Alligator mississippiensis: one gene and its partner. The protein of the gene in region 1 purifies or fractionates together with the protein of each later gene. This does not show direct contact. Links are inferred from orthologs where the notes say so. Each region holds a gene or a part of one and is shown on either strand. Other genes may lie near its edges.

Region 1 (3,744 bases):
GATAGATAGATAGATAGATATCAACTGACTGACAGACAGATAGATTGATGGACAGACCTACAGACTGATAGATAGACAGACAGAAGATTAAACAAAGCCTGGAATATTCTGGCCAGCTGCATGCCCTTCTGGCGTAAAAGCACAGGCTTATCCCTGACAGTTTTTGCTTGGCAGTTGCCCCAAACCCATTTTGTTTAAATGACCCCCCCCCCCCCAAAAAAAAAAAAAAAAAAGGTTCAAGACTAATGTCACTTCCCATCCATCCACAGCTTAAATGTGGCTGCCACCAGCAGAGGAAGGAGAGGGGTTTGCATCTGGGGGACTGCTAGGATGGGATGAGCTCACACAATTAACGGGACGTCTGTTTGTCTGTCTTTTTTTACTGCAGGGCTGGCTGTGCTTCACCACCAAGAGGCATGGCAGAGGCTGGCTGGGAGTGCAGGGCCCTGCCTGCTTTGCTTCCTCAACTGGACCAGGGAGAAGCCAGCACCAAAACAGCAGCATCCTAGTGCAAGCAGCTTGCAAGAGATACAGCTCCCAGGGTAGCAGGGTCCCTGGATCTTTCTTGGCATGAAAGTTAGAAACAGCTGTGTGTGCATGTGTGTGTGTGCGCACGTGCGTATGTGCATGTGTAACCCCCCAACACACACACACATGCCTCCTGCTATTTCCTGCCAGTTGCATGCTTCTTGCTGCTTTCTGTGCAACAAGTTTGGCACGTTCTCAGCCCAGCCCCCAGGGACAAGATCCTTCTTAACACAACTTAACACTTGCACCCGCCTTAACACTTGCACCCGCCTTAACACTGCTGTCTCCATTGGGGGCTGCTGGAGGGCACCAAGTGGTCAGGCTGCTGCCCTGGGGGCGGGGGGGGGGGGGGGGGGGGGGAAGGGCATTCCTTATTAACCCCTTTATTCATCAGATCTATTTGCATTGCCTCCATGCCTCTGAGTCCCACAGCAGGCCCAGGCTCCATCACTTGGAGGCTGTGTACCCTATCCAGAAACCTTGCAGTCAACACCCTACCCCCCCACCCCAAATAATAAGAGAAGCTCAGAAGGGGACTTTCCCCATGTCCCACTGCTGGAGGTTGGAAGAAAGCCCAGGTGTCCTGATTTCCAGTCTGCAGCCCCCTCCCTGCCTCCCCACCCCTCAGGATGTGACTGGGAGAGCATCCTTGCAAAGCTCTTGCAGCTGGGCAAGCCCCGCTTGGTGCACAGATGAAGCTCTTCTATCTTTGGCCCAAGTCCAGCCAAAAATAGCTGGGTCTGGCACCGGGCAGTTTTCTCGAGCACGGGTGAGGAACTGGCCTGGAGCACGTCCAGGCTGCCACCGCCCCAAGGCACGGAAGAGTTAAAGCCCTCACTCGCTGTCCGGGGCCTCCTACTCCGCCCACCGGAGTATGAATAGCTGCGCTGGGCTGTTTCCCGGCCACTTGCTCCCTCTCCCCCTCTGGACCACGCTTCCCCTCTCTCTGCCCATCCACGGACCACGGTCGTCCAGCGATGTTGAGCATGGAGGGCTTGCTGGGGGCACGTGCCCTGGAGAAAGAGTCCCTCCAGATGTGGGACCTCAACAAGCGCCTGGAAGCCTACCTAGCCCGGGTGAAGTTCCTGGAAGAGGAAAACGAGGTGCTGAGAGCAGAGATCCAGAGAGCTAAGAGCAGCCCGGCCGAGAGGTCCTGGAGGAGCAGGTACGAGGAAGAGCTGAGAGCCCTGAGGGCTACCTTGGATGATGCCTTCAAGGAGAAGTGCCTGGCAGAGCTGGCCCGGGACAACCTGTACGAGGAGGTGGAGCAGGTGAGGAGCAGGTGCGAGAGGGAACGGGCCGCCCGGGATGAAGCCAAGAGGCAACTGGGGCTGAGCAAGAAGGAGCTGGAAGAGGAGAGGAGAGCCCAGATCTGGCTGAAGGAGAGGGCTGCTCAACTGGAGAAGGAAGTGGAGGCACTGATGGAGATACACGAGGAGGACAGAGCCCAGCTGGACCAGGAGGTCGCCCGCTTCTCCTGTAGCCTGGAGAGCTTCCGGGCTCCATCGGCTGCCTTCCAGCCCCTGGAGGTTGAAGACTACTCCAAGAGGCTGGCCGAGATCTGGAAAGGAGCCGTGGAGACCTACAAGAGTGAGGTGGCCCAGCTGGAGAGCACCCTGGGCCAAGCCAAGGAGAGCCTGTGGCAGGCGGTGGAGGGCAACCGGCAGAACCAGCTGCAGCTGCAGCAGCTGGAGAAGGACCTGGCCGGGCTCAAGGCGAGGAAGGAGATGCTGGAGGAGAACCTCTCCCAGCAGTGGCAGGAGCAGAGGGGGGAGGCGGAGAAGTTTCAGGTGGGTCCAAAGGCCATGGAGGGGAGGGCATGCAGATGGGCACACAGGACTGGGAACCAGACTAGCATCCTTGTCCTGTCCCTGGGAAGCAGCATGCCTAGTGGTTAGAGCTGGGAGACCGGGGCCCAGGACTCCAGGGTTCAAGACTGTACCCGGAGAGACAGATGTGGAGCGTGGGAGGGGGAGCAGGACTCCTGGGTTTTCTGCCTGGCTTTGGTGGTTAAATCCAGAGGGACAGGGGAAGGGCTCCTGGGTTCTCTCTGCAGATGGGCCAGGCTTACCTGCATGCAGGAAAGAGGATTTTTGGTGGGGGTTGAGGATGTTTGCCAGTTGCAGGGCCACTTATGGGTCTGGACTGACTCATGGATTTGGACTTGATTTGGCTTGGAACATGAAACATTTCTTTAAAAAAAAAAGAGGATTTCCAGCCCGGGCAGGTGCAGAGAAGGGCTGTGGGAGACAGCAGCATGAGGTCTGCCAGGAGCTGGGCTGGGTCTGGTGGAGAGGGTTGGGCTTGTCCCTGGCATGACAGCAGGGAAGGCGTCTGTCCCAAGCCCTGAGGAAAGGGTGAGGGACATGTCCCCATCCTCTCCTCCTGACATGCTGTGGTGCTTAGGGCTGGGGAGAGTGGGTGCCAAGACGCCTGGCTTCTACCTCCATCAGGCATGCCCTTTCCTCTCTGCAAACCCACCAGCCCCAGTGGGTAGGAGCATTTCTGTGCCTACATGAGGGCATGAGAGCCAGGGCTGCCAGGTCCTATGCCTGCTTCTGGGTCCCTTCCCCTCTCTGTGCCTCAGTTTCTCCATCTGCAGAAGCAGGCTCATGATAGAGATTCCCCACCCCCCGCTTCAGAAGCTCCGTGATTTAAAATCTTGGATCAGGCATCTTGACGTGGAGTGGGGACATCCCCTGAGTCTCTGACCAGCCTGGGTGAGCTGATGACCTTGTATTCACAACATGTGCTGGATCTGGCTGTCTGTCCCATGCACTCTGTCTTTCTGTCTCCCTTAGAAGAGACAAAAACCTTTCCAGGCTTCTGGAAACAGGAGAGTTCTTCAGTCTGGAAGATAAAAGTCCTCCCTCCGTGACCTGCTTGTGGGGTGAAGACAGCTCCACAGCTGCCCTGACCCATTCTGGCCTTGACCATGTTCGGAGCGGGTGCAGGCTTCAGAAGTCTCTTAGACTCTGTGTCAATCTGGAGTGTAAAGCAGGGAGGGATTTGGCCCTGGAGGGGGTTGGACCCATGGGTGAGTTGCAACCAGGGCTCCAGTTCAGAGCTCTTGAAGAAGGAGAATTTTGCTTCGGGCCCAGTTTGAATGCCCGTTTGGATACTGCAAATCCAGAGTCAAACCCTCCACCCATCAATGGTGCTGGTCCAGATCCTTGCACTCGAACATGCCCTGTCTCCACCCAGTGCATCTCTTCT
Region 2 (3,744 bases), on another chromosome or scaffold:
ACCATCTTCTATTTATGAGCATCAAGTGCTGACTCCTGTGCACCTCTGGCTAGAACAACACCAAGCCCAACTAAAACCTGCATTTGCACCTTGCCAGGCCCTAGCAAATCCACCCTGTTCCTTCACCCAGCTCAGGGGAAAACCGCGCTGAAGAGCAGTTTCTGCTTGAGGTCTCTGCGCTTCAGCCCTGGGAGAAACGGCGCCAGAGAAGCGACGCTTTTCACTGCTCAGCCTGGGGCCCACGGCCCTTTCGCGCAGCTGAGGCCATACCCTCCGGGGCGTTCAGCCTCTACCTTGCGGAATAAGCAACCGCAGGGGGAAAGGAAGGGCAAGGCTTCAAGCAGACAAGGTCCTTTGGGTAAATCCGATATCTTTTATTAGACCAACTCAAATAGTTGGAAAGATTCTTCTTCCCAAGATTTTTTCCAACTATTTGAGTCGGGCTAATAAAAGATACCGGATTTACCCAAAGGACTTGTCTGCCAGTGCCGTTAGACCAGCGCGGCTACGCCCAACCCTTCCAGCAGCTTTCATGTCTCCGGGGACGCGCGCGGGCAGCGCCGTGTGCCTCTGCCCCGGCGCCGGCGGGGCCGCGCCGAGCAGGGCGGGCTGCGAGCGGGGATGCGGCGCCCCCTGCCCGGCAAAGCGCCGCCGCCCGAGCAGCCGCGGGGCGCGGGCGGATGGGCTCCGCCGCGCCAGCCAAAAGGCGCGAAGTCCCGCCGGGCCGGGCCGGGCGGGGCCGGGGTCTCCCCCGACCGCCACGTCCCGAGCCAGGCCCCCCCTCCCGCGCCCCGCCCCGCCCCGCCCCGCCCGGCGCCGCCGATTGGCTGGCAGCGGGCAGGGCGTGGCAGGCTATAAAGCCCGCGCCGCGCCGAGCGCCCCGCTCTCTGCGCTCGAACCGCTAGGCTCGCCCGACGCCGCAGCCATGAGCTTCACCACGACCAAGGGCTCCTCGTACCGCAGGATGTTTGGTGGCGGCGGAGGCGGCGGCAGCGCCCGCTCCAGCTCCAGCGGCGGCACCCGCTATGTCACGTCGTCCAGCCGCTACTCGCTGGGCAGCGCCCGGCCCAGCGCCGGCGTGCGCCTCTCGTCCACGCCCGGCGGCTACGCCACCAGGAGCACGTCGGTGCGGCTGCGGAGCAGCCTGCCGCCCGCGCGCATGCTGCACGACACAGTGGACTTCTCGCTGGCCGACGCCATCAACACGGAGTTCAAGGCGAACCGCACCAACGAGAAGGTGGAGCTGCAGGAGCTCAACGACCGCTTCGCCAACTACATCGACAAGGTGCGCTTCCTGGAGCAGCAGAACAAGATCCTGGTGGCCGAGCTCGAGCAGCTCAAGGGCAAGGGCACGTCCCGCTTGGGCGATCTCTACGAGGAGGAAATGCGCGAGCTGCGCCGCCAGGTGGACGAGCTCACCAACGACAAGGCCCGCGTCGAGGTGGAGCGCGACAACCTGGCCGACGACATCATGAAGCTCCGCGAGAAGTAAGTGCCCGGGGGGCCGGGGCAGGGCGGGAGGGGAGCTGAGCTTGGACAACAGGAAAACTTTCTCCCCAGGAGGGTGGGGGAAAGCGCTGGAGCGGTTCTGGGGTCTCCATCCTTGCCCCTGGCTACGCAGCAGGGGGCTGCACTAGATCAGCGCTTCTCATCCTCTTGTACAAGGGCGCGGGTGGCCAGTCCCGACCCGCTGCCCCTCGCCCCTGACCTTCTGCCCTAGCCCCACAGTTCTGCCAGCCTGGAGGGAGAAGTTGTGGTTTCACACGTTTTCTCCTTTAAAAGAACCCATTTTTAAAGTTTACGCCTGACCCTTTCATATATTCTTGCTGGGTTGCAACCCACGGGTTATGAAACCCTGAGGTCCCTTTCAACTCTAATGTTCTGTGACTGTAGCCCGGCCTCCAGAGAGAGGTTTCCCTAGGGCTGTGGGGTGAGACCTGGGGCACCAGATCTTGGGTCTTCAGCCCCACCCTGAAGGGGGAGGCTTGGGCGGATGGGCAGGCTAGTCTGTTTCCTTCCTTTACCAAAGGAAAGTCGCTCCTCCACAGCTTGGGTTTCTGCAGAAGGCAGCTTTCAAGCAGCCCAACTTGGAGTCAGCCACTTGTTGCATCCCTTGAATGAGTTGTGATGCTCATGTCTGGTTTTGGGACAGTTGTGTCAACTGGAAGCATGAAAAGCCTAGTCAGGCTGACTTGGAAAGGCTCTGCCCCCCAGGGCAGTGTAGGCATGGGATGCTTCTTAGCAAATGCTCCATCTCTCCCTCTGAATGGGTGTGGCTCCACTCAGGTTTTACACCAGGGGCTGGTGGCTTCCTCCTTGCATGGCTTTACCCCTTGTTTATGTTCCTGCTTTCAGGTTGCAAGATGAGATGGAGCAGCGAGAAGAAGCTGAAACCACCCTACAGTCTTTCAGACAGGTTTGTCTCTCTTGTTTGTTTGCTTTTTTCCCTTCTCTTTTCACTTAAATGCGGGGCCCAGCCAACCTAAATTGAAGTGTATAAAGCTTGCATAATACATAAGTTGGATGAAAAGCCACCTAGTGGTAAAAAAGCAGACTGGAAAAGCTGTAGACGTTCATATGGATTTTTTTGTTTAGTCTTAGAGCGTTTTTGGGGGAATTTTTGGTTAATTTTTTTTTTTTAATCCAGGATGCCAACATGCTTTTAGGGTTAAAACTCAGTTATACAATAATAAACTTGCAAGGTTATTTAAAAAAAAAAAGTATGTAGGGGTTATTTTGGAATATTTTGCAAATGATACAGCTTAATTAAATTGAGTGGGGGGGGTTGTTTTGGTTGTTTTTTTTATTAAATAAATTGGATTAGTAGAAGTCATCTGCATGACTAGGTATGGCATGCCTGATGTATCATAGGTGAAATGTTAGTGTATAAATGAGATCCCAGGACTTTGTAGAGGCTTTTGTTAACGCACAGAGGAATTCTGTCAGTAATCATGTAGATTCTGCTTGTTTTCTTTGGGCCGATGCTGTTGTCTCAGGGGGAGGGGAGAAACTATTGTATTGTTTTGTTTTTTTGCTTTATCCAAGTCTAGCCTATCTTACAAAAGTGCCCTGATGTGGAATCACTTTCTGATCCAATAAGGGTGAAAGGGAACCATCTGCTTGCTTGGCTGAAGGGTATTAATGGTTTCTATGGGATTCACCATGGAATGCAGATGCAGGCATTATGGCAAGTGTAGTGGCAGCAGATTGAAATAATAGAAGTCTTTGTATTCAGGGGGACTTTCAACAGGCTGCATTCTTATCGGATGTGTAATGATGCAAGCATATTTTAGAGGCATCAACTATTTTCTGTTTCCCAGTCTCAAAGTATATAATACAGGACTCCTTCAGAAGACTTGACTGACCTCATTTCAAACTTCCAAAGCTTTTGTTCCAAATTAAAATTTCCTATCTGCTTCACAATCTTGGGGGGTTTTTTTTTTGTGTTTTTTTTTTTTTAAGGGAAGGGTTATAATATCAAGAGCAGACTAACTGGTTACGGTGTTGAAACTGGATTTTCTATTTAATGTAGAGGTTCTCAAAGATGGTGTGGGGGAGCTGGGGGTCTGAGACAGGAGGTAGTCAGCTAAGCTTCAGAGTGAAATAATGAGGGTTACCTGGATACCTTTTAATTACTTTAGCAAGAAACTAACCTTTAATTGACCTACAATATTGAACTTTTCAAATAGTGCAGGTATTTCCAAGTAGCAAGCTTGCAAATAGTGGCTTGCAAGCTCAGCCTTT

Evidence for each region. Proteins that work in one complex are often made in the same cells at the same time.
Region 2: the proteins of NES (region 1) and VIM purify together in Homo sapiens (affinity purification with mass spectrometry; 3 studies listed by BioGRID and IntAct, counting the BioPlex papers as one, with this or other methods). This does not show direct contact. The link is inferred for Alligator mississippiensis from reciprocal best matches to the Homo sapiens genes NES and VIM.

The regions. Positions count from the first base shown.
Region 1 is NC_081838.1:16,776,594-16,780,337, reverse strand, and holds the start of NES (nestin), read left to right. Parts: upstream 1-1,412; 5' UTR 1,413-1,505; coding exon 1,506-2,318; intron 2,319-3,744. UniProt on the Homo sapiens protein: Required for brain and eye development.
Region 2 is NC_081828.1:181,333,355-181,337,098, forward strand, and holds the start of VIM (vimentin), read left to right. Parts: upstream 1-879; 5' UTR 880-925; coding exon 926-1,488; intron 1,489-2,355; coding exon 2,356-2,416; intron 2,417-3,744. UniProt on the Homo sapiens protein: Vimentins are class-III intermediate filaments found in various non-epithelial cells, especially mesenchymal cells. Vimentin is attached to the nucleus, endoplasmic reticulum, and mitochondria, either laterally or terminally.